Linked DNA regions of Oryctolagus cuniculus. The main gene of each other region encodes a partner of the protein of the gene in region 5 in a complex. Links are inferred from orthologs where the notes say so. Each region holds a gene or a part of one and is shown on either strand. Other genes may lie near its edges.

Region 1 (3,500 bases), on a different chromosome or scaffold from region 5:
GTGAGAGACCCAGAAGTAGCTCCTGGCTTCTGTCTTTGGCCTAGCCAAGCTGCCAGTTGGGGAGTGAACCAACAGATGGAAGATTGTGTGTGTGTGTGTGTGTGTGTGTGTGTCAGACCACCTTTGAAGTAATATAATTTTTTTAAGATTTGTTATACATTTGAAAGAGTTACAGAGAGAGAGAGAAATCTTGCATCTGCTGGTTCACTCCCCAAATGGCCACAAAGGCCAGGGCTGGGCCAGGCCAAAGCCAGCAGCCAGGAGCTTCTTCCGGGTCTCCCACCTGGGTGCAGGGGCCCATGGACTTGGACCATCTTCCACTGCTAACCCAGGGGCATTAGCAGGGAGCTGGGTCAGAAGTGGAGCAGCTGGGACACAAACCAGTGCCCACATGGGATGCCGGTGCTGCAGGCAGCTGGTTTACCTGCTATGCCACAGCGCCAGCCCAGCAAAGAAAATGAATAAATCTTTTTTTTTTTTTTTAAGAGAGAAGTCAAATGAGATGGGCACAGAAACGTGGCCGAGTTTTGAAAGATGAGCAGAATTGCTCAGTTTGGGGATGAGGAGACCCCGGAGAGCCTCCTGGGGCTCAGGCTGCTGCTGTCCTCACAGGGGCAGAGCTGTCCTGTGTCTGCCCCCCACCCCCACCCTCACTGCCGGTCTCTGAATTTCAGATCCTCACTGACTGGCAGGACAAGAAAGGTGACCGACGGTTCCTCAAGCTGGGTCGAGACCACGAGCTGGGAGCTCCCCCCAAACACGGGAAGCCCAAGAAGCAGAAGCTGGAGGGAAAGGCGGGACACGGCCCCGGCCCCGGGCCCGGCCGGCCCAAATCCAAAAACCTTCAGCCCAAGATCCAAGAATACGAATTCACCGATGACCCAATCGACGTGCCACGGATCCCCAAGAATGATGCCCCCAACAGGTTCGGGGCCAGAGAGCGGGGGGGGGGGGTGCTCAGGCAGTGGAGGTGCTGGGCGCCCAGGGCAGGAGCTGGGGCGACCCCGGACCCCCACCCAGGATCTGCCTCTCCCACAGGTTCTGGGCCTCGGTGGAGCCCTACTGCGCTGACATCACCAGCGAGGAGGTGCGTACGCTGGAGGAGCTCCTAAAACCCCCTGAAGACGAAGCTGAACATTACAAGGTACACACTCTGGGCCTCCATAGACCCGGTGCAGAGCGAGAGAGCTCAGGGTGCCTCGGGTCCACGTTACTGCGCTCCGCCCACCCTGCCAGCCCCTGGGCGCCCCACGACCCCGGCAGGCACCCAGCTCCAGTGCTCAGCGGTGTCCCTGCGCCACCTTCCGGGACCCCAGCCGGATCTGCACTTCCTGCCCTGTGCCCTCACCTCCATCCCCTCCGCTCCGGCTCAGCACTGTGCTCCTGCCTCTTATTTCCACAGGGGCCTCTGTGTTTCTTTAGGACAAAAACCAGACATCAAACGTCGCCCGCTAAAGAGAATGCAGAGGCTTGGGGGTGGGGTGGGGAGGCTCCTGCAGAGGTTGCCTGTCACGAGCAGGTGTTTGTGACCTGGTCCTGCGCCCAGGCCTCCCCGGGCTCCCGTCAGGCACAGCGGCGACTTCAGGCGTCTGCCCCACTCCCCCTGCAGTCTGCTGAGCCACGACCCTCCTCAGCCTGTGTGCTCAGCCACCAGGCACACTGCCCTCCCTCCGGGCTCGCATAGGGTCCTCCGATCCCAAATGCCCATTCCCCGAGTGCCCCTTCCGATCGCCTAGCAGGAAGCAGGTCTCCCTGCGGCAGCTGCACACCTCGGTCGGCCCCTTACTTCACTCACCTGAGGGGCAGGCTGTGCTGTGGCAGACGGCATTCGGCAGATACGCGGCCCCTTGTCGGTTTGCTTCCAGTCCCAGCCCTTGTGCTTCCAGTCGGCCTCCTGCTGACACATGCGGGTAGGCAGCGGAAGTACCTGGGCCCTGCCAGCCACGTGCAAGACCTGGACGCACTTCCTCGCCTAGGCCTGGCCTGGCCGTTGCAGGCATTCTGCCTTTCAAATTGGTAAATAAACAAATCCTTTAAAAAAAAATGAAACAAATAAGCCAGGCAGTAGTAAATTCAATCAATGCAGAGGGCAATTTCCACACACCCCCCCAACCTTTAAAACCCCTGCTTCTCTGGAGCTAGCAGCCGTGACCTGACCGTCTCGCCCTGATGGATTTTTCCGGATTGTCTCCTCGTGTTTCACTTCTTTGTACGTCTGTGTGTCCTGCTCGAGCTGGAGTGTAGATCTTGCCTCCCTCGGCCCTTCTCATGGGACCCGGCACTGGCCTTGACCCTGTACCACAGGCGTGGGAGACGGACAAGCGAGTGCACAGCAACGCCAAGTGCACAGAGAGGCCCCTCCCCCAGGCACGGCCGGCTCGTCCGCCCCGCTCAGGGCCCCGCTCAGGGCCGGCTGCTGTCGCCCCGCAGATCCCGCCCCTGGGGAAGCACTACTCCCAGCGCTGGGCCCAGGAGGACCTGCTGGAGGAGCAGAAAGACGGGGCCCGGGCTGCAGCCGTGGCTGACAAGAAGAAAGGCCTCCTGGGGCCCCTGACCGAGCTGGACACTAAAGGTAGGCCCCTCACGTCCTCGCCCACAGCCGCCCCGAGCTGCGCCCCAGAACTCCGCCCTGCCCTTCTCTCCCCTGCCCACTGCAGACGTGGATGCCCTGCTGAAGAAGTCGGAGGCGCAGCACGAGCAGCCGGAAGACGGGTGCCCCTTTGGCGCGCTGACCCAGCGCCTGCTTCAGGCCCTGGTGGAGGTGAGCACCCCAGCCCCAGCGCCGGCCTCTGCCTTCTCCCCGACGTCTCCGTTCGTCTGTAGCACACGCTCAGACGTACACTGATCACGGCGCACCGCAGACGAGCGTCGGCTGCCGTCCTGGAGGTGGCCAGACGAGAGTTCATGTCCAAGAGGCTGCACTCGCCCCTGCCGGACCTGCGCTCCCCTAGAGGCAGCCGCTGTGCCACTTCCCGTCGCTAGGTCTTGGCTGAGGTTTTCCCACGCCTGTCCCCAGAGGAGGCCAGGAGAGTGGGGAGCCTGGGAGGGGCTGCTGGCTGGAGGTCCCCCAGAGGTAGACCCCGCTTCCTGAGCTGTGCTGTGACGTCCCTGGCCGGCCTCAGCCGGCTCCTGAGGCTGACACGCGCTAGTTCATTTCTCTCCTGTAGCAGCCTGGGGCACACGCTGCAGGTGCACTAAGGTGGGGTACAAGAAGGCTTCCTCACGCCATCAGACAGGCCCCCCACGGATGGTAACCGTGTCCCCTGCACAGGGTCGCCGAGGGCCCCCCAGAAAGGAGCAGAGAGGAGTGTGTAAAGGGGCTCTCTGGGCCACGACCAGCTGTGGCTCTCTGAATCTCTCCCTGGCTGCGGGGGAGGCTGGGAGGTGCAGTGTGGCTGGGCAGGCCCCCGAGCAGCACTGGGGAGGAAGGGAGAGCCTGGGCTCGGACAGCGGCAGCCTGTGCCGCGTCCTCCACAGCGCGCTTCTGTAAACCCCCCATT
Region 2 (3,500 bases), on a different chromosome or scaffold from region 5:
GTTAAGCTGCTATAACAAAGATCCCTAAAACAGAGACTCAACCAAAATGGCAGTTTCTTTCTCACATAATGAATGGTGGAGGGATAAGCGAAAGTCTAGGCCAGGTAGAAGTCCTCTCTCCAGAGATTTGGGGACTTGGTTTCCTTTTATTGCTCTGTGTGGTCTTGGGATCTGCATGATAGAAGGAAACTTGAACCTTGACTCTGCCCCAGCACCTAAGAAGGAGGAAGAGAAAAGAAGGGGAGGGCGAGCAGTTTCACAGACACAGCTGACTGCAGTGGAGGCTGGCCAGGTGGCTGGGTGGCGCTGTGGCCTGCCCAAACTGGGGAATGGGGTGGGTGTGAGAGGAAGAGGGGAAGATGGATATGGAAGGCAGTTAGCAGTTGCTTTGCCATTATCTGTTCAGGTGAACTGCATCTGTTGACAGCCCCAGGTGGGGTATCAGAGATTGGCTGTTCCCTCACATTTTGTAAGATAGGAAACTTTACCCCGTATGAACCCAGCTAGTCTGTTCTTAATGAGGTGCTAGATTGACTGAAGTAGGTGGACAGTGGTCCCTGTGAGGGGCTGCTTGTCAACTCTGTTTCTTTTCCTTTGAGGATTCCTTCAGATGGTACTCTCTCATTGAAATGCCAGTGCCTCTGGCCCTGCACCATAGTCTCTAACCTTGTCTTTCTAAATCCTGGTTTAAAGCCTTCATCTTTATAAAAGTGACTTTGTTTGCACTGGAATTAAATCAGACTCATGGCAATTCAGAAGAGAGCATAGGGAGATCCTGTTAATCATTATGCATGGAGGAAAGCTCCCGGAAAAGGGACAGGGGCCGTTGTGTCTTTGTACCCTGGATAGTCTGTGCAGTCACGGGCTCTGGGTTTTCATTGTCAGATATATTGTTCCCAAGGGGCCTTGTGCAGTTTTGTGCACAGGCAAACAATAAAACTAGGAGTCATTTCAGAGTATCATTTTAAAAGTGATAGCTATGCATACTTTCTTCATGATTGACAGGGCTAACAAGGGGTGGTCAGGGTCATCCTTGTCAGGAAGAGTAGTTGGGATTCTAGGTTGTAGCTGGGAAGGCAAAAACTCTAGTACAAAAGAGGCAAAGACTTATAGTTTTTGTATAAAGAGCAGATCTGAACTATGGCTCATGAGCTCCATGTTAACATATTTCAGATGGCAGTGGCCCTAGAAGTTAGCAAGACAACCCCATTTCTCCTGCACCATTCTGATTACAGAGGTGTGTCTCGGCTCTGGGTTCAGGCTCTGATACCCTTCCTGGAGGTGGCCCAGGGACTCTGGCTGCCTTGGTACCAGTTGCTTCTTCTCCTTCCTCTGTGGGTAGGAGTGGAATGGGAGAGCCGTGCAAGGCTAGCTGCACACCTGGGGAGTAGAACTTGGGGTTATGCCAAGTTGCTGCAGCCTTTGCGCTCATGGGCAGTTGCATTTCTGCAGCTAAGAGGCAGGGGTACTTCTGTCTAGGAGCTGCTGGCGAGCAAGCTGCTGCTTTCAGTGTTTATCTCTGGGGGTCACGAAGGCACTGTTGGCCGTTCTGCCTTGGGATGGTTCTTCTCCATATGGGGTTGCCTGAACATGACAGGATTCTTAGTGTCCCTGGGTTCTGTGAACTAAATGCTGGTATCACCCCTCAGGGTTGTGACAACCAGGAAGGCCCCGCATTTTCTCAGTACATTACTTTTTTTTTTTTTTTTTAAGATTTATTTATTTATTTATTTGAAAGTCAGAGAGAGAGGGAAAGACAAAGAAATAGAGATCGAGAGAGATCTTCCTTCTGCTGATTCACTCCCCAAATGGTCATGATGGCCAGCATTAGGCCAAGCCAGAGCCAGGAGCTTTTTCCAGGTCTCCCACATGCGTGGCAGGGGCCCAACACTTGGACTGTCTTCAGCTGCTTTCCCCAGGGCATTAGCAGAAGGTGGATTGGAAGTGGAGTAGGTGGAACTTGAACTGGCACCTGTATGAGGAGCAGGGAGCAGCTTTACCCGCTAAGCCACAGCAGTGGCCCCTCAGGACATTCCTAAATGAACCAAATGTGAATCACAGCTCTCTGTCCACCTGCTTGTGCCTGAAGGGCACTCCTGCCGCCCACCCTCCCTCCTTTCCATCTTCCTTTTGTTTAATGATCTAAGGTTGTAGTAAAGATTCTTAGTGGTAGAGAAGAGTTAAAAGCTGGAGTTTACATAAAGTAGAAATTTTTAAGCCTGGAGATTGGCTCTCCCTTTTGCTTAGCGAATGGTGGGCTTTGACCAGCTGGCCCAGGTGGGAACTGAGGAGCTCTGCCGTCGTGCCAGTTAGCAAAAAGCCTTTCCCTGTCTGCCCTCCCAACAGAAGCAGGGAGCACCCCGATCTGCAGCTGTGGTGCCAGCCTTGGAAACAGCACTCTGGGGAGGGGAGAGTTCAGTCCACGCACATCCGCATCGTGGACACCAGGAGCAGGGAAGAGGCCCCCAGCTATAGAACTTTGAACGGGGCAGTGGAGAAGCCCCTGCCCCGCTCCATGGAGGAGTCGTATATCACCAGCGAGCACTGCTACCAGAAACCCCGCGCCTACTACCCTGCTGTGGAACAGAAGCTGGTGGTGGAGACGCGGGGCTCTGCCCTGGACGATGCAGTCAACCCACTCCACGAGAACGGCGACGACTCCCTCTCCCCTCGTCTGGGCTGGCCTCTAGACCAAGACAGGAGCAGGGGCGACAGTGACCCCAAACCCAGCTCCCCAAAGGTATGTGGCTCCTCGTACTTGTTCTTCCTCAGTGTTGGAGTGCTTGTGTCTTCTCCTGGTAGGTTACCTGTTCTGTGCAAGATAGTCAGCCAGAAAACCGTATTTAAATCTGTTTAACATGCACATGTTTTCTATTAAATGAATGCAAAGTCAAGAGAGCTCACTTAAGCTAACGATTGTTGGTTCCAGAAAACACCCACAAAATGGTGTGGTTGGTGAGGTGGGAGTGGAGAGGTGGGAAGCTGCCAGGAGTTCCAGAAATGGAACCAGGGTGGGGACACTCCGTTTCCTTCATAGTTGCACCTAGGTGCTGATTCTTAGTGGACAGTGAGTCAGGTGTTTGGTTAGGCCTGGTTTTTTCAATATAGTTGTGTGACTGACTTACTTTTCTTTTAACTTTGCAGCCTGGTCATAACAAGGGTCCATTTTATTAAGATATTTGCAGATTTCCTCTGTTTTCTCCAGAGCCACTTTTTTTTTTTTTTTTTTTTTTTTTTTTTTTGACAAGCAGAGTGGACAGTGAGAGAGAGAGACAGAGAGAAAGGGCTTCCTTTTGCCGTTGGTTCACCCTCCAGTGGCCGCCGTGGCCAGCGCACCGCGCTGATCCAAAGGCAGGAGCCAGGTGGTTCTCCTGGTCTCCTATGTGGGTGCAGGGCCCAAGTACTTGGGCCATCATCCACTGCACTCCTGGGTCATAGCAGAGAGCTGGCCTGGAAGAAGGGCAACCGGGACAGAATCTGGTGCCCCGACCGGGACTAGA
Region 3 (3,500 bases), on a different chromosome or scaffold from region 5:
ATGTACTTTCGGGGCCGGCCGTGGCTCACATGGCTAATCCTCCGCCTGCAGCGCCAACATCCCATATGGGCACCGGGTTCTAGTCCCGGTTGCTCCTCTTCCAGTCCAGCTCTCTGCTGTGGCCCAAGCAGTGGAGGATGGCCCAAGTGCTTGGGCCCTTGCACCCACATGGGAGACCAGGAAGAAGCACCTGGCTCCTGGCTTCGGATTGGTGCAGCGCCGGCCGTGGCGGCCATTTGGGGAGTGAACCAACAGAAGGAAGACCTTTCTGTCTGTCTCTCTCATTGTCTGTAACTCTACCTGTCTAATAATAAAAAAAAAGACTATTTTAAAAAAATATGTATTTTCACAATAAACAATTCAAAAAGTTTTGCAGCCCAATGATAAATACAGTTCTAGAGTAGAATCAAGAGATGTTATGGGCAGTTCAAAGGCAAGTTAAATTTACGAAGAAAAAACAGCATCTTATTTTTTGAACCATTGTTACTAATTTGAATGAAGTTTAAAATACATAAGAGTCTTGATCATACAAATTTATAATAATGGAAGTTCACAATGCAATATCAACATCATCATTTTGTTTTGGGTAGAAAACCCACCATTCACATTTTTTTGCTAATCATAATTTTACAGCATTATAATCTGATGAACAAGTTAAATCAAGAATCCAAAGATAAATACAAATATTTTAGAATCCCAGTACAACGACTAAAAATAAATATTAGCCCACATCTATCACCAACAACTCCATTGTTTCTTCCCAATGAATTGACCATTACATTTCAGAAGTTCTGAAATGGTCAACAGACCATAGAAAGACATTTCTTTAGGCTCCTGCTTGAAACCAACAGCTTCAGCACACTGCTGGTCTTGATTCAGGGCCAAAGTAAACAAGGAGCTTCAATTAAACAAGCCAGCAGATTCCCACTAGCTCTCAGTCTAGCAAGCAAATCACAGCCTGAACACAGTAAAAGGATACGAGTAAGGCAGTGTCTGGTCATAGGAAGAGACTGATTGGAACAGCGAACATCATCCACAAAGGCCAAACACCTCTGACTAGAACGAGTGGTATGCGCCTAAAATGGAAAAATTAGATAAACTCTTCAAAGAACATACAACCAATTATGATGAAAAGAATTATAAAGTACATCTTCACAGGGTAGAAAATTCAACATCTAATAAATGAATACACCAATATTACACATAAGAAAAAATGCAGAGGGTGGGCATTTGACATAGCAATTAAGACACCTTTTGCGTTTCCCACACCCCACACTGCAGTGCCCAGGTTTGTATCCCCCACTCTGCTTCCAATTCCAGCTTTCTGCTAATCTGCACCCTGGGAGGTAGCAGGTGATGGCTTAAGTGTTTAGGTCCCCCAAGCCCACATGGGAGATTCAGAAAGAGGTTTGGGCTCTTGGCTTCGGCCTTACCCAGCCCAGGCTGTTCAAACCATTTGGAGAGTGAACACCAGCAGATGGGAGATATCTGTCTTGCAAATAAAATCAAAAATAAAATTTTTTTAAAAAATAACAAATTCAAGAATGATCACGGGCCAGCGCCGCAGCTCACTAGGCTAATCCTCTGCCTGCGATGCCAGCATCCCAGGTTCTAGTCCCAGTTGGGGCGCCGGATTCTGTCCCGGTTGCTCCTCTTCCAGTCTAGCTCTCTGCTGTGGCCTGGGAAGGCAGTGGAGGATGGCCCAAGTGCTTGGGCCCTGCACCCGCATGGGAGACCAGGAGGAAGCACCTGGCTCCTGGTTTCAGATTGGTGCAGCACACCAGCTGTAGCGGCCATTTGGGGCTGAACCAACAGAAGGAAGACCTTTCTCTCTGTCTCTCTCTGTCTATAACTCTCTCTCTCTCTCACTGTGTAACTCTGCCTGGCAAAAAGAAAAAAAAAATGATCATGGGCCCAGCACTGTAGCACATCTACCCGCTGTAGCACAGTGGGTAAAACTGCCCCATTCAGTGCCAGCATCCCATATGAGCACCAGTTTGAGTCCCAGCTGCTCCACTTCCAATTCAGCTCCCTGCTAATGCACCTGGGAAAGCAGAAGATGGCTCAAGTCCTTGGGCCCCTGCACCCACATGGGAGACCTGGAAGAAGCTCCTGGCTCTTGACTTTGGACTGGCTCAGCTCCGGCCATTGCAGCTATTTGGGGAGTGAACGAATGGATGGAAGACCTGTCTTCTCTTTCTCTAACTCTGGTTTTCAAATAAGTAAATAAATCTTAAAAAAAAAAAAAATCACTTCTTATAAACCTAACTTCCTTACATTCAACTGCTTCTGTTCTATTTTCCCACTCTTTATAACAAGATTGTCAAGCAAGTTAGGCTTAACCTATGCTTACTTCTGAACTGAAGATTAGAGATCTATCCCAAATAATAAATCTGCAGATAAGTTAAGCTATTATGTGATCACAGGAGTAGTCAGAAGGGGACTAAGATTGGAACCCATGTCTCCTGACATCTTGGTTAGGTGCCTTCATTACAATCTAAGTCTAGTGAGTGAGATTACAGAGCCAGGATTGGATATAGTATTTTGACAACACTCCAAACTTCATAAATAAAGGGGCTATATATATACCTTAAAGCAGGAATATGGAATACTTGGCCGCTAAATAGCACCCACTAAATCATTTGGTCTGGCCTTGTCAAGGCAACTATATGTGGGACTCAAAATTGAGTAAACCTACAGCAGACTTAATTTTTAACTGGATAATTTTGGATGGCCCACAAATGACGTTATAAATACCAAAATGGCCCTTGACAGAAAAAAAGGTTCCCCCACCCCTACGTAAAATCACCTGTTGAGCGGCCCCATCTGTGGCTAGCATTCTGCGTTCCTTCAGCTGCCTGTGTAGTAACGCTTCGACTCCATAGCGCTGGCGATACCGCCGCAGACATTTTAATCGTTTCAAATTCTCACGTTCTTTGGCCAAAAGTCCCTCTGGGCCAGTCAGGAGACTACCACCTGGGAAGTCCCAAGAGTCAAGATGTTATTTGCCAAGCAATCCACAAAGGATATGTCTGCTAATCAACAAGAAAAGAGGAAAATCTTGGGACCAGTGCTGTGGCACTGCTATCTGCAGTCCATATGGGCACCAGCATGAGTGCCAGCTGTTCCACTTCTGATCCAGCTCGCTGCTGATGTGCCTGGGAAAGTAGCAGAGGATGAAGCAAGTGCTTGGGCCCCTGCACCCATGTGGGAGACCAGGAAGAAGCTCCTGGCTCCTGGTTTTGGCTTGACCCAGCCCTGGTCATTGCAGCCATCTGGGGAGTCAAACAGCAGACAAAAGATCTTTCTCCCTCTCTCTGTAATCTTTCAAACAATAAATAAATCTCTTTAAAAAAAAAAAAAGAGAGAGAGAGAGAAAGAGAGAGAGAGAGAGAGAGAGAGAGAGAGAAATGGCTATAAGATAAGCAATCCCAAAAGCAAATTCTCCCCCACTGCAGGTACTAAGACAGAAATAAATCTAATTACTACCAAATCCAAAT
Region 4 (3,994 bases), on a different chromosome or scaffold from region 5:
AGTTGGCCCCGTAGATCTCCTCCTCCAGCATGGACAGGAACCTGGGGGGAGGGCGCCGTCTGTCCACGACTCCGCCCTCCCGCCAAAGGCGGCCTGGGCCGGGCCCCCGGGGGGCTGCGGCTGTGCCGTGGCCAGAGACAGACCCTGCGAGGCGCGTCTGAGAGCAAGCTCTGCCCTGCGGGAAGCCCTGGCCACAGGGGCAGGCACGGCCCCCTGGCTCCCGGGAGCCTCGAATGCAAGGTGAGAGCTTCGGACACACCAAGCAAAGGGGCCCAGTTTGGCCATCTCGGGCAGCACAGGGCCACAGGGCCCGAGCTAAATACCAACCCCGTAGCCAGGCAGGGCACCACGTCCCCCTGGGTCCCCCTGCTCCCCGCAGCATCAAGATGACTAGGAATCCACCCCAACTCACCACCTCCTGTTCCCACCTGGTGGCAGGGGCACTCAGGGGCCCGGATTTGACAGCCAAGGCTCTCTGAACAGAGAAGTCACGAGCCAGGCTTAAGATGGGAGAGAGGTGTGGCACACGGGGGGACACTGGCACAGAAAGGACTAGCGCGGGGCGGACACTGCTGTCACCTCAGGTGTCAGCGCTGGCTTCTTGGAGCTCTGTGGTGGGAGGGATTCTGAGGCTGGGTCCAGGCCCCCATGGGAAACAATTAGTAACGCCTAGCAGGGTGTGGGAGGGGCAGCGTTAGCCGGGGCCATGTACCTGCCATCCCCAGACTAGGCCGTGCAAAGGCAACTACTAGCAAGCTGCTTCTGGGCCATGGGCAAGTCTGCCAGGTAGACGCCCAGATCCCAGAAGGCCCATGGAGGGAGAGGAGGGACCAATCCAGGAAGGCTTCCTGGAAAAAAGGGGACAACAGGGAGGACGTGAACTTGGGGCAAACTCGCAGTGGGCCGGAACGAGCCTTACTTGGGGAAGTGGGTGAGGATGAGGGTCCTCTTCTCCGGCACCAGCTTGTCTTTCTCCACTCGGAACTTCTCCAGCAGCTGCCGCCGGGTAACAGTGAAAATGGACCGGAGGAGGCTTCGCCCGAACACGTGAGTGGTCTCGTAGCGAGGCAGGCTGTCGCAGCTCTGGGGCACGTGACAGTAACACAGCCACCTGGGGGTGGGGACAGCAGGGTGAGAGCACATGGGGAGGTCTACAAATCCCCCCCCAGCCCCCGCCCGGGCAGGGCCTACCTGGTGTAATTGACCTTGTAGGTAGCCACATCCTCCGACTGGGACCTTTGCCGGAACTGGGCGGGCGTCTCCAGCTTCCAGTAGTTAAGGCAAAGCAGGAACATCTTGGAGAGTTCGAACATGGTCTGTCGCTCCCGGGGAGCCAGGTGGCTAAACTTGTACTGCACGAAGTTCAGCACACCCTGGGAAGGGGTGGGGTGGGGAACAAATCCAGGGAGGAGGGCTAAGAAGCCAGCTTCGTGACAAAGTGCCCCCCCTCCTCCACCCCACTCTGCAGTCAGCACAGAACACACGCCCCCGGCTGATCCCCTCTGATTTTCAGCTAGAGCAGGAGGGAGGACCCAGCTCCCCGTGCCCCACCCCACCTGCTCAATATTAGGCTTCTCAAACGGGGGGCTGCCCAGGGACCCCTCCACCACAGGCCGGGTCATCTGCAGGATGCATTTGCGCAGGAGCTGCAGGAAGAGGGAGGGAGGGAGGGAGGGAGCATCAGAACTGAGAGCCCCCCTGCCCCCCACTCACGCCCGTTCGCGGAAGCTCACCTTGAAGAGGTAGAAGTAGACCTGTTTGGTGTCCGTGTCCTCCTCCTTGTGCACCGACATGAACAGATTCTCCACATCCACCACCATCCCCAGCAGCCGGTTGATCTCATCCTCTGACACATTCTCCAGGTGGGACACGTGGTCAGCTGCAAGACAGCCAGCCCGGGCCGCGGGGTGGGGAGGCATGGACGCCCTGCTCGGCAGGGAGCCAAGACTTCCAAAGGTGGCCCCGCATCTTCCCGGCTGGCACTTTCCCTTTCTCCTCCCTCTCGGCCTGCCTGCCCCCAACCCCACACCTCCTAAGGTCCTGAGACGAGGTTTCCTGGCAGCGAAATCAGGCTGTCCAAGCAGGCCCCAGCACCTGGCGCCCACCACCTGCAAGGGCGCTGCCTGCCTTACCCAAGGGGTGCTCACAGCTGCGGCACAGCTCGCTCAGGTTGGCAGCAGGCTGCTGCAGGTCCATGCGGGGAGCAGTAGGGGGCTTGGGGTTTTTCCAGCCATTACATTTGCAGGTTTCATTGGCCTGGAGGCAGGAGATAAGTCAACGACCCCCGCACCCCAGGGGCAGGGGCCGCTAAGCGTCCAGAGCGTCGCCCCCCATTCCCACCCGAGCCCAGGGATGCCCTCAAGCCCCGCCCCTTTCACCCTAGGCCCCGCCCCCACCTTGCAAGCGGAGAAGACCCCTAGCTTCTCAAGCTTCTTGGCGCGCGGCAGTCCCCGGACTTGCGCCTTCCTCTGGCTGGCGCGCTGCTGCTGGCTCAGGCCAGGTCGCGCCGGATCCCCCCCGCTGCCGGTTCCCCCACTTCCTACCCCGGGCCCTCCAGTCCCTGTGCTCCCGGCTGGGGCTGCAGCCGGGGCGGGGGCTGGTGCCGGAGTGGGAGCCGGAGTCGGGGCTGAAGCAGGGCTGGGCGCAGGAGTAGGAGTTGGGGTAGGGGCTGGGGACTGAAGGGGCCGGGGCTGCGCAGCCGGGACTGGGGCCGGGGCCTGAGAAGGTTCCGCCATGGCCTCCCCCGCAGCGGAGCGGCGCCGCGCTCCCAGCCCTAGGGCCGCATGGGCAACCGGTGCGCAGTGCGCAGGCGCCACAGGCCCGACGCACGACGGGAGTTGTAGTCTTCCACCGCCGCGCCCCTGGCCTCCAGCTTCCAGACTTTTCCGTCCTTTCTCTTGGTACCAGGCAGCCAAGGGGAGCCCCAGCTAGCACCCCAGACTTCCTGGCTCCCAATTTATCTGGAAGGCGTCCGGGACGGCTCCGGTTGCTGCCGTCTTAGGGACAGGGAGGTGCATCCCAGGAAATAGGCGCCCCCCACGGGGGCCGAGGCCCCATCCCGTGAGGCCCAGACGCGGGGCTGCAGCCGCACAGGGGCTGAGACGTGGCCGAAGCTCTGAGCTTCGGTGGCTACCCCGGGCGTGCGCTGTGTACCATCCACCTGTACTGCGTTGTGCACTTTGTTATCCTTCAACGGAGAGAATTTAGTATCAAAACACAGAGTTCCAGGGGCGCGGCTGTGGTCGCAGCAGCGACAAGGAAAACCACTGGGACGCGGGATGCCCGCGCCATCATCTTTGTGGCCCCAGACCCCGAGGACAGGGAGGGATGTGCCCGCCTCCCTCGTGCGTGTGCTCAGGGAGAAGCAGGGCACGCCGCGATGGAGGACCTGGAGGACCCCGCCCGCTGTCTCTGCCAGCAATGGGCTTCCCTGCCCCTGGCCGGTCGGTGGCTGCCGAGTGTCTGCTCCCGGCGTCCAGCCTCTTCAGTGGCTCCATTGTGCCGTGGTGGAGAAAGGGCAGGGCCAGGGTAAAAGTATAGCGGGTGCTCCTGAGCAACTGACAGCCCGCTCCTGGAGGCAGGACGGGCAGAGCTGACCCCGGACCCAGCCGAAGTTTGCGGAAGTCAAAGGGAATGAGCTGCCCCCGCCTGACCCGACCCGACCCAACCCGACCCGGGGGAGCCGCGCGGGGCCTCGTGAGGACCCCGCTCCCGTTTCCTTGGAGTCCACACGCCTGGCCGAGCTCGGGCCTTGCGTTCGGAGCCTCGTGCCCCTGAAGAGCAGTTGCTCACTTGGATGCAGCGGGTCGGCAGCAGTTTCTCCAACGGGAACCAGGTGGCGTCGAGGAGTCCCAGTGTGGCCCTCGCTGAACGCAATCAGGTGGCCACACTGCCGGTGCAGCTGCTGAGGGACCACCCGGCCGCTGTGCAGGACCATGGCCGGGCCGCAGACGATTTCCAAATGAAGATGGACGCGCAGGGCTTCGCCCCCGAG
Region 5 (2,378 bases):
TGCCTGAAGACCTACACGGGACACAAGAACGAGAAATACTGTATATTTGCCAACTTCTCCGTGACTGGCGGCAAGGTCAGTGCGGCTCGCTGCAGGCTGCCCTGGGCCTCCTGGGTTTGCCCGGCTGGGTGCAGGCGCCAAGCGGGCCCGTGGGCGTGCCCGGGTGCCTCCAGTCTGGCTGAATATGGCCCTGTGGGCAGGGTGGGCTTGGGGCGCCGTCCCTGCCTGGGGGTGGGGCGGGGCGGGCCTGGGGGGCGTGGCCCGAGGACCTCCAGCCTGCCTGAGAGTGGTGGTGTGGGTGGGGCGGGCTGGGGGCGTGGCCCGGGCGCCTGCAGCTTGGCTGCGGGGGCGGGGCTTCTCCGTCTAGTGTCCCGCTCCTAACAGGGCCCGTGCACACGCGTGTGCGCCCACACTGCCAAGTGGCACAGTCGGGAAGTTCTTGCATGCATCCTGAGTGTGGGGGCCGGGGCGGGGCCTCTGCACGCGTGAGCTCTGACCTGCACGCGTGTGCTCCCCTCCAGTGGATCGTGTCCGGCTCGGAGGACAACCTGGTGTACATCTGGAACCTGCAGACGAAAGAGATCGTGCAGAAGCTGCAGGGCCACACAGGTGAGGCGCGGCCCGGCGGAGGCGGGCTTTGTGCAGGTCCCCTCGCGCCCCCGGGGCGCCGCAGACCCCGACCCTTGCCCGGGCCAGGGCCCTGGGACGTCCCGGGCTGCGAGGCGGCCGCGCTCCTCTGGGGTCGGGGGCGGGGTCGGCGTCCCTGCCCGGAGCCTGGGCACGGGCAAGGGGCGAGGCTGGCCCTGGGCCCTGGGCACGCGGGGAGGGGGGCGTGGTGGGCAAGGCCGGCCCCGGGAGCGGGGAGCGGGGCGGGCGGGCCCCCAGCGCGGGCCACAGCGCGTCCTTGCCCGCAGACGTGGTCATCTCCACGGCCTGCCACCCGACCGAGAACATCATCGCCTCGGCGGCGCTGGAGAACGACAAGACCATCAAGCTGTGGAAGAGCGACTGCTAGGGGGCGTGGCCGGGGCGTGGCCACCCGGGGCGGGGCGTGGCCGGGCGTGGCCACCCGGGGCGGGGCGGGGCGCCCCCGCGCGCTGTGCCCGCGCGGCGCCAACAAAGTTCTCGTGTGTCTCGAGGGTGACGTCCAGTTTCGTGAGTTGTGTCTTTGCGTAAACGTGCTGCACCTTTCTTGGTTTTTCGTTGCCCAGCGCCCCTGCTGCGACCACTCCCGCCGCCCCGCTCCGTCCCGCGCTCCGTCCTGGGGCTCCGTCCTGGGGCTCCGTCCTGGGGCTCCGTCCTGGGGCTCCGTCCCGGGCTCCGTCCCCGGGCTCCGTCCCCGGGCTCCGTCCTGGGGCTCCGTCCTGGGGCTCCGTCCCCGGGCTCCGTCCCCGGGCTCCGTCCCCTGGGGCAGCCGCGCCCGGCCTGGGCGTGGGCGGCCTTGAGGGCTCCCTGGGGACGCGGCCGGCGCGGGGCGGGGGCGGGAGTCGAAGGGTCTCCCCGAGGACGCGGGCCCGCGCTGCTCCTGGGCTCCGGTGTCGCAGGGCACCGCCCGGGACCCCTCCCCAGGCCGTGCTGCAGCCCAGGCAGCTCGCGGCTCCTGTGGGTGGGGGCCGCCCAGGGCGGGGCCGCAGAGGCAGTGGGGCCGCCCCCGCTGCCGGGCCTGGGACTGCGCCGGGAGAGGTGGGTGCGGGGGCTGGGCGCAGCGCCGGGGCGTCCCCGGGACCCGGACTCCGGCTCTGGTGGCCGCGGCTCCCTCGGGGGCTGTGAGTGGCCGTGTCCCGGATATAGTTTATTTTTTCTACATTTGAATTCTCTGTTGTAGATTTATGTAAAAATACATTTCTTTTTGAAATTAAAGATTTTCATGTCTTGTAATTTCGTCCTACAAGAATTCTTCTTTCCTTTTTGAGGTTGTTTCCTGGAAGGCAGAGTTAGGCAGACACGGGGGGGGGGGCTTGCACCCAGTGCTCAGGCCCGCGTGGGTCCCCTTGGGGGTGTCGGGGGCAGCAGCCCTGCGGCTTCGTCCTCCGCCTGCCGGCCCGGCCCCGCCGGACGTCCTTGGTGTGCGGAGACCTCGGCTGATGATGGACAGCGGGAGTGGGCGGGCCGAGGTGCGCCCCCGCAGCCGGAGGGACCCCTGCAGGAAGCCGAGCGCCGCGGTGTGGCCACCAGGTTTCGGTTTCTAGAACAATCCGAGGGGCGGAGAGAACCCATGCGCTCTGCTCGCCCCAAGCGCTGGCAGGCCGGAGCCGGAGATGGACATGGGCGCCTGGTCACTGTCCCCGCGGGGCCACAAGCGCCACGTGGCCAGGGCCCGCCCCACTCCGCGCCCGTGTCTCCCGTGTTGCCGGGGAGCCCCCCGCCCCCCGCAGCTG
Region 6 (3,500 bases), on a different chromosome or scaffold from region 5:
ACACGGTGAAGCCCGCCCACGTCCTGCTGCCCCGTCCTCACAGGAAGAGCGCTCGAGGAGTGAACACAACTTAGTGAACATCCAGAAGACCCACGAGCGGATGCAGACGGAGAACAAGAGTGAGTCCTGGGCGTGCACCGAGAACATGGCTGCGGCGGCCCTGGAGGGGGCTTCTGCCTCTGTCTGCGGGGTCCACAGCGAGCTGTGCCCCGGGCTGCAGGGACGGTGTTCCCTTAGGCTGGGTGACCCGGGGGTGGCGACAGTTCACAAAAGAACCGACAGATCCCTCCACTGCGGGGATGGGAGGTCAGGGAGATGAGGCTGCAGCCAGGGAAGCTGTCGCTGTCGCTGTCGCTGGGAAAGCCGGCGCCCTCTGGGGGTGGGGGCCTCCTGGGGAGGGGTCCCCACGAGTCGCCTGGTTTTGTGCACGCTGCCTCCTGCGTGTATTTTCTGCTGTGTGTCACGAGACGTGGGAGCTAGAAGTGCTCCCCTGGATGTGGTGATGGCTTCTGGCCCTATGGAAACGTGGTCTTGAACGTGACCACTGCTGGGCGCGTGGTGCGGGGGCGTGGGGCCCGGCCTCTCTGGATGTCCCAGGTCTGAGCCTGGTGGCCCTGCAGCAGTGCCAGCCGCTTGCGCACGCCTCCACCCCGTCACTGTGTCCACAGTTTCTCCCTACTACCGGACCAAGCTGCGGGGCCTTTACACGACCGCCAAGGCCGACGCGGAGGCCGAGTGCAAGTGAGTACAGCCTGCTGGCCTCGCGGGACTCCCGCCTTCCCCACAGTGCCTCCTAAGCCCCCCTCGCCCCCGGAGTCCTGCTTCCCAGATGGGCGCTGAGCTGCTCCGGGGCCATCTCCTCAGCCCAAACTCAGTGCCCACCACGAGCAGAGGCCGCACGGCTACCTCCAGGGTCGTGAGCGTCATGTGGGCCAGGCAGGTGTGGCCTGACGCCAGCGCTCTTGAGGAAGAGGGAGACGCCCCATTGTCCCAGCAGTGTTCGCTCCCACCCGGCCTTGCTGGGCTGCTGGTGCTTTCCCGAGCCCCTGGGAGCCCACAGCGCTGCTGCCTGCTCCTCCCGTTCCAGATGGCGCGGGAGAGAGGTGGGGCCCAGGCCCTGGGCAGCACCCTGGTGGCTCAGCAAGCGCAGCTCCAGCCCTCACAGCAACCCAGAAAGTCCCAGAGGGATTTTTTTTAATTTTGTACTTTCTAAAAGGTCATCCTAATCAAATAGTGAGGCTACGAGTTTGTATAGTTTGGGATCGTTTTAAAGAGCCCACACCAGAGTTAGTCCCTTAGTAGTGATCAGGGGAGGGGATGGTTGGAGCTTGGGCCATGCTACACACCAGGGCTGGTCCTGGAAGTCCACCCTCAATGGCCCGGGCAGGTGCAGTGGGCCTCCTGGGGGGTGGGGGGGACCTCCCCTGAGGGTCAGAGCGGGAGGTCATTCTAGATTGCCCAGCACCTTAGTGGTTGTGAGAGGAAGACGGTTGCGCGCAGTGGAGCTGCAGCGTTCCAGGGAGTGGGACGTGGCACTGCTGGAGGCCCACAAGGCCGGTGACAGGCTCTGATAAGTTCTGCAGAAACAGTTTCATTTAACTCTGTTTCAGGACCTTGCTTGGCAGTGAAACACAGACGTACAGGTGCCTTTGTGGTTTAATGGAGACTGTTATTGATGTAACTTCTTTATTTTGAAATGATTTCAGACTCATAAAAGCAGTGTTCTACCACATTGACTTTTAAATTTTTATAACCTGCTTTGACTTGAAAGGCAGAGAGAGAAGGACAGCGACAGGGAGCAATTTCCATCCACTCGTTCACTTGCCAGAAACGTCTGCAACAGCCAGGGGTGGGCCAAGCCAAAGCCAGGAGCTGGCAACTTAACCCAGGTCTCCCACATGGGTGGCAGGGACCCAACTACCTGAGCCCTCACTGCCGAACCCAGGGTTTGCGGTAACAGGAAGCTGGAATTGAAAGTGGAGCCCAGGCTCCAGGTCGTCCCACCCAGGGTGAGGTGTCCCAGGTGGTGGCTTAACTGCCGCACCCAACACATGCCCCATTCGCTTTTTCATGCACTCTACAAACGTGCATTATTTTTTTGAATGAGTTACATGATGTCCCTTGATCTCGGGTTCTTCAGTCAGTGTTTCCTAAAAATAAAGGCATCCTTGTGTAGCCAGAGTTCGGTTGTCAACATCACTGGCACAGTGAGCTGAGCAGTCATTTGTGATGCTGGTATCCCCGGTCAGAGCGCCAGACGGAGTCCTGGCTGCCAGCGCCCCACTCACGTGTCTGGGAAAGCAGTGGATGACTGCCCGAGTGTCCGGGCCTCTGCCACCTACATGGGAGCCCCAGATGGAGTTGCAGGCTCCTGGTGGTGCAGAAATTTGGGGAGTGAACCAGCAGATGGAAGGTATCCCTATCACTCTGCCTATCAAATAGTATTTTTTTAAAAAACCAGGACATTAACACTAACATGAAACTATTAACTACATATCTTTCATCTTTCTTTTTTTTTTTTTTTAAGTTTTAAGGTTTTTAATATTTAGTGAGAGAAATGCATAGGAGAGCAGGGCTCTATCTAAAAGCGAGAGGGTACTCTGGATTCAGACCAAGCACCAGGAGCCAGCGTGGAGGAGCACGCAGCCCAGAAAGCATGGGGCGGGGGCCCCGAGGCGCGGGGGCAGCACAGGTCCACAACGATGAAAAAGGGGGAAAGGGCCCACCATGTCCCAAGCCTTTAATCCACTTCCAAAGGGGAGTGGTCAGTTAGTCTGATTGGCAGGTGGGTGCACAGTTGTGGCCGGGTTAACTACATATTTTACTCAGTTTTTTTAAGATTTTTATTTATTTATTTGAAAGTCGGAGTTACATAGAGAAGGAGAGCCAGAGAGCGAGGTCCTCCATCCACTGGTTCACTCCCCAGAAGGCTGCAACGGCCAGAGCTGCGTTGATCAGGAGCCAGGAGCTTCTTCCGGGTCTCCCATGTGGGTGCAGGGGCCCAAGGACTTGGGCCATCTTCCACTGCTTTCCCAGGCCACAGCAGAGAACTGGATAGCAAGAGGTGCAGCCGGGACTAAAACCGGCGCCCATATGGGATGCCAGCACTTCAGGCCAGGGTGTTAACCCACTGCGCCACAGCACCAGCCCCCATATTTTACTCAGTTTTCATTGTTCACTGATATTCCTTGTAGCAAATAGCAAAAGCCTTTTTTTTTTTTTTTTTTTTTTTTGCTTGCTTGTTTGTTTTTTTAAATTTGAAAGGCAGTTTCAGAGAAAGAGATCTCCATCCACTGGTTTACTTCCCAGGTGGCTTTAACAGCCAGGGCTGGGCCAGGCCGAAGGCAGGAGCTTCTTCCAGATCTCCCACTTGGGTACAGGGGCCCAAGCACTTGAGCTATCCACTGCTTTCCCAGGTACATCAGCAGGGACTTGAACCAGCACCCTATGGGATGCCAGCATTGCAGGCTGCAGCTTTACCCACAACACTGGCCCCTAAA
Region 7 (3,500 bases), on a different chromosome or scaffold from region 5:
ATGGCCAATCTAGCATATGGAGCAGGGGCAGATGACCACCAAGAGAACGTGCAAAGCACTCTAAGGGGCCAGTGTTGTGGTGAAGTGGGGAAGCCTGCTGCCTGTGATGCTAGCATCCCGTCCGAGCACTGGTTTGTGTCCTGGTTGCTCCACTTCCAATCCAGCTCAATGCTAATGGTCTGGGAAAAGCAGCAGCAGATGGCTCACATGTCTGGGCCCCTGCCACCTAGATGGGAGACCTGGCTGAAGTTCTTGGTTCTGGCCATCAGAGTGAACCAGCAGATGGAAGATCTCTAACTCTGCCTTTCAAATAAATAAATAAATCCTAAATAAACAAACAAGTGGTCAATGATCTTGGGTCAGAATTTTATAACTATAATCTTTCCAAATTCCTAGTCATTGATCACTACACACCAAGATCATCAGATAGCAGCCAGCTGAATCCTGCTCTACAAACTTATTTCAAAATAGGACATACCCAGCGAGGTAAAGCAAAGAAACAGAAAAACCTTAAGCTTCTTATTTATAAAGAAATCCTCGGCAGGCGCTGCAGCTCACTAGGCTAATCCTCCGCCTGCGGCACCGGCACCCCGGTTCCAGTCCCGGTCGGGGCGCCGGATTCTGTCCCTGTTGCCCCTCTTCCAGGCCAGCTCTCTGCTGTGGCCAGGGAGTGCAGTGGAGGATGGCCCAAGTGCTGGGGTTCTGCACCCCATGGGAGACCAGGAGGAAGCACCTGACTCCTGGCTTCGGATTGGTGCAGCACTGGCCATAGGGGGTGAACCAACGGAAGAAGGAAGACCTTTCCCTGTGTCTCTCTCTCCTCTCTAACTCTGCGTGTCAAAAAAAGAAAAGAAATCCTCAAGTTTCTGGCAAGTAACACAGTTTGTTTGCTCATACTGGATACAAACCTTTGATCTCCTGCAAGACAAATCTCCAGAGTGTGTGGCAGATACAAGTGCCATAAACTGACTGCCCGCTGACACTGGTAAAATAAGGAAGCTACCTTCTCTACTGTTCTTCCTTCCTCTGTCTCTGTCCTCTCACCCTGAGGACACTCCTTTCTGCCCAGGGAAGGTTCCAGAAACCTGCAGATGTTTACAAACTGGACTTGCCTGAGTGCCTTGGTCTACACTGGGTGGGATTTTGGGGTCATCATCACCCCCATAATGCAGACTTTACCATCAAGACTATTTCCAGCCTGAGAAATAATTACCTGAATTTGAAGCCATTGGAACAGAAGGACTCAGGCCGGAATCACTGTAGTGAGGAAGAGGAATTTAGACTCAGGTCAAAAGACAACTTCCAAAGTCCCTATGGGGTTGGGGACCATTCCTCAGGTGGGTCACTCTGAAGACATCATGTTTTCCAGGGTATCTCACTACACTGACCGGGAAGGAAAATCTGTTCTGAGGGAAAATAAAAGGAGCCCTGGATTTGTTGAGAGCTCTTACCCCTGGAACGCCACTGATATCGTCACGGGGAAGGGTTAGCAGGACGATTCTCAATGGGAATCACACCATGGATATCCAGGCGGAGAGGGCCCAGGTGGGAGGCTAGGGAAACCCACTCATTTTTAAAAGTAAGAGCAACGTAGCAAGGGGGAATCCCAGGAAGCCAGCTCTACTTCTCAGAACTGTTAGGACTGCCCTGTTTCTGAGGGGACTGCAGTCATCTGCATGCAGGGTGCCCGAGAGGGGCTCCACAGCACCGGTGCGCTCACAGCACCAGGGAGGAGCTCACAGCACTGCTCACATGTCGGCTTGCCGGCGGAGCCACTGCTGGCATGCCCCGCTGTCCTGGATGTACTGCAGAACCTCGGAGAGCATGGTGCGTTTCAGACGCTCCTCCTCTCGTGTCTTCTTCAAGTGATCGTAGGTCCTGGCACCTGAAGGCATAGAAAATACGATGACCACAATGACAATGCAGCAGAGCTACGGGGATTCCTGTTTGGCTTTTCTTGGTTTTCTTTGCAAAACTGCTTTCACAGCTATTTTTCCAAGAGCAAAAGCAGGGTTCTCCTAGTCTGAAATCCCTTTGTTGATACTAACTGAAATATTTTTATTCCTGTTCTACCTTTACGAAATTTGGAGGAGAGGAGGGAACCAGAAAAGCACAAATAATACTCATATTTCCACTTTAAAAAAGCAATTTGACTACTGTCATATTTGCTTTCTGGGTTTTTTAATTCATATCTATTTCAAAGTCACAAGGGCCATAAGCATAAGCTGTTCCTTCAGAACCAATCAGAATTAAACAAAAGTGCCCACTCACCACTTTCTATCCCATACTTGCCAGAGGCCACCAGCAGAAGGTAACTGAAATTCAGCATCCATCTCTACATGCACCTAAGAGTTGTGGGATGCTTTCTCCACATTCACAAAGGTCACCGTAACAACGGGTTTCCAACCGTGTCACACAGAGCCTCAGGACACTACGAGGTGACTTTGAAGAGCAAAGTCAGTGCCAAATATTGGGAGTCCTGGGCTCCATTCATAAGTGGCACATCAAATGTCAACCAAAGTAATTCCACTTATGACCTATTTGTAGTTTGTAGCTTCACATAAAATTTCACTTCAAACATGGTTTCCACTGTTAAAAGGAAAGAATTGTTGAACTTACACCCACAGGGCTATGTTAAGAAACACAGCTACTTCTTGTGGGTAGTAGATGATAGCTTTCAAGTCTCAGACTTCAAACAGGAAGAGGGAGTGAATGCTCAAGATCATTCCTACAATAATAGCAGAACAACAGAAATTGCCATTTATGGGGGATTTCTGTGTGCCAGGCACTGAGCCACATTTTTACACTACCTCTAACTTAATCTTCACACCAACTTGAGACTTGGGAAATTGAAACTTGAACAGAATCACAGAGCTAGTAAAGAGGAGAGTCCAAGTGTAGCCCTCTAGCCTCAAAGTACTGTAGTAACACATGGCCTTCCCTGATGAACTGGCTCTAACATTTACTTGCTCTTTAATCTCTTCAAGCCTTCGTTTCTTCAATAAATGGAAATAACAGTACCTCATGAGTTGGTCATAAGAGTTCCAAGACATAATCCAGGTGAAATGCCTAGCATAGGGCCTGGTGCACAGTAAACATTTGACAGATGTTAGCTGCTACTAATACAATTACTCCTATTACTTCAAGTAACTGGAATGCAAGTACCAGAGCCATCCAAAGCTTGGTTAATAAAACTTTGTTAATACACTTAGAAAGGCTGGGGCTAAAACCTAGAATATAAAACTCTTTTTTATTAGGAACCATGGCAGAATCCTAAATCTAAAGCAACATCTCTTTTCTTTATATCATGACTGTTATTCTACTTCAGATAACCAAATAATGGTGCTTATATGGATAAAATGGGATGAAAGTTTACTGGAAAGATTGAAAACTCATTCTGAAAAAGAAAAGCCTGTTTTAAAGGAAGTATCACAATACCTCAGACACTTCCTGGATGCGTCTGGAAGACACTTGCTCTCTGATACACCATGTGATCGAAA

Evidence for each region.
Region 1: WDR5 (region 5) and TADA3 share a complex: the UniProt entries of both Homo sapiens proteins name them as parts of the ADA2A-containing complex. The link is inferred for Oryctolagus cuniculus from reciprocal best matches to the Homo sapiens genes WDR5 and TADA3.
Region 2: WDR5 (region 5) and PHF20 share a complex: the UniProt entries of both Homo sapiens proteins name them as parts of the NSL complex. The link is inferred for Oryctolagus cuniculus from reciprocal best matches to the Homo sapiens genes WDR5 and PHF20.
Region 3: WDR5 (region 5) and KANSL2 share a complex: the UniProt entries of both Homo sapiens proteins name them as parts of the NSL complex. The link is inferred for Oryctolagus cuniculus from reciprocal best matches to the Homo sapiens genes WDR5 and KANSL2.
Region 4: WDR5 (region 5) and KAT2A share a complex: the UniProt entries of both Homo sapiens proteins name them as parts of the ADA2A-containing complex. The link is inferred for Oryctolagus cuniculus from reciprocal best matches to the Homo sapiens genes WDR5 and KAT2A.
Region 6: WDR5 (region 5) and SGF29 share a complex: the UniProt entries of both Homo sapiens proteins name them as parts of the ADA2A-containing complex. The link is inferred for Oryctolagus cuniculus from reciprocal best matches to the Homo sapiens genes WDR5 and SGF29.
Region 7: WDR5 (region 5) and TADA2A share a complex: the UniProt entries of both Homo sapiens proteins name them as parts of the ADA2A-containing complex. The link is inferred for Oryctolagus cuniculus from reciprocal best matches to the Homo sapiens genes WDR5 and TADA2A.

Annotation. Positions count from the first base shown.
Region 1 is NC_091441.1:116,925,846-116,929,345, forward strand, and holds part of TADA3 (transcriptional adapter 3), read left to right. Parts: intron 1-674; coding exon 675-925; intron 926-1,038; coding exon 1,039-1,144; intron 1,145-1,795; exon of another isoform or gene 1,796-2,430; coding exon 2,431-2,572; exon of another isoform or gene 2,573-2,657; coding exon 2,658-2,761; exon of another isoform or gene 2,762-3,500. UniProt on the Homo sapiens protein: Functions as a component of the PCAF complex. The PCAF complex is capable of efficiently acetylating histones in a nucleosomal context. The PCAF complex could be considered as the human version of the yeast SAGA complex.
Region 2 is NC_091442.1:22,308,899-22,312,398, reverse strand, and holds part of PHF20 (PHD finger protein 20), read left to right. Parts: intron 1-2,346; coding exon 2,347-2,740; intron 2,741-3,500. UniProt on the Homo sapiens protein: Methyllysine-binding protein, component of the MOF histone acetyltransferase protein complex.
Region 3 is NC_091442.1:52,169,477-52,172,976, forward strand, and holds part of KANSL2 (KAT8 regulatory NSL complex subunit 2), read right to left. Parts: intron 2,977-3,500; coding exon 2,810-2,976; intron 1,077-2,809; coding exon 980-1,076; intron 886-979; exon of another isoform or gene 749-885; intron 1-748. UniProt on the Homo sapiens protein: Non-catalytic component of the NSL histone acetyltransferase complex, a multiprotein complex that mediates histone H4 acetylation at 'Lys-5'- and 'Lys-8' (H4K5ac and H4K8ac) at transcription start sites and promotes transcription initiation.
Region 4 is NC_091448.1:20,670,952-20,674,945, reverse strand, and holds the start of KAT2A (histone acetyltransferase KAT2A), read right to left. Parts: upstream 2,801-3,994; 5' UTR 2,736-2,800; coding exon 2,397-2,735; intron 2,257-2,396; coding exon 2,133-2,256; intron 1,880-2,132; coding exon 1,734-1,879; intron 1,647-1,733; coding exon 1,557-1,646; intron 1,374-1,556; coding exon 1,192-1,373; intron 1,112-1,191; coding exon 920-1,111; intron 42-919; coding exon 1-41. Other genes in the region: HSPB9 (heat shock protein beta-9), read left to right, coding at 3,797-3,994. UniProt on the Homo sapiens protein: Protein lysine acyltransferase that can act as a acetyltransferase, glutaryltransferase, succinyltransferase or malonyltransferase, depending on the context.
Region 5 is NC_091432.1:235,840,181-235,842,558, forward strand, and holds the end of WDR5 (WD repeat-containing protein 5), read left to right. Parts: coding exon 1-75; intron 76-521; coding exon 522-609; intron 610-914; coding exon 915-1,015; 3' UTR 1,016-1,878; downstream 1,879-2,378.
Region 6 is NC_091450.1:7,527,553-7,531,052, reverse strand, and holds part of SGF29 (SAGA-associated factor 29), read left to right. Parts: intron 1-43; coding exon 44-119; intron 120-668; coding exon 669-741; intron 742-3,500. UniProt on the Homo sapiens protein: Chromatin reader component of some histone acetyltransferase (HAT) SAGA-type complexes like the TFTC-HAT, ATAC or STAGA complexes.
Region 7 is NC_091448.1:38,178,675-38,182,174, reverse strand, and holds part of TADA2A (transcriptional adapter 2-alpha), read right to left. Parts: intron 1,886-3,500; coding exon 1,753-1,885; intron 1,258-1,752; coding exon 1,214-1,257; intron 1-1,213. UniProt on the Homo sapiens protein: Component of the ATAC complex, a complex with histone acetyltransferase activity on histones H3 and H4. Required for the function of some acidic activation domains, which activate transcription from a distant site. Binds double-stranded DNA.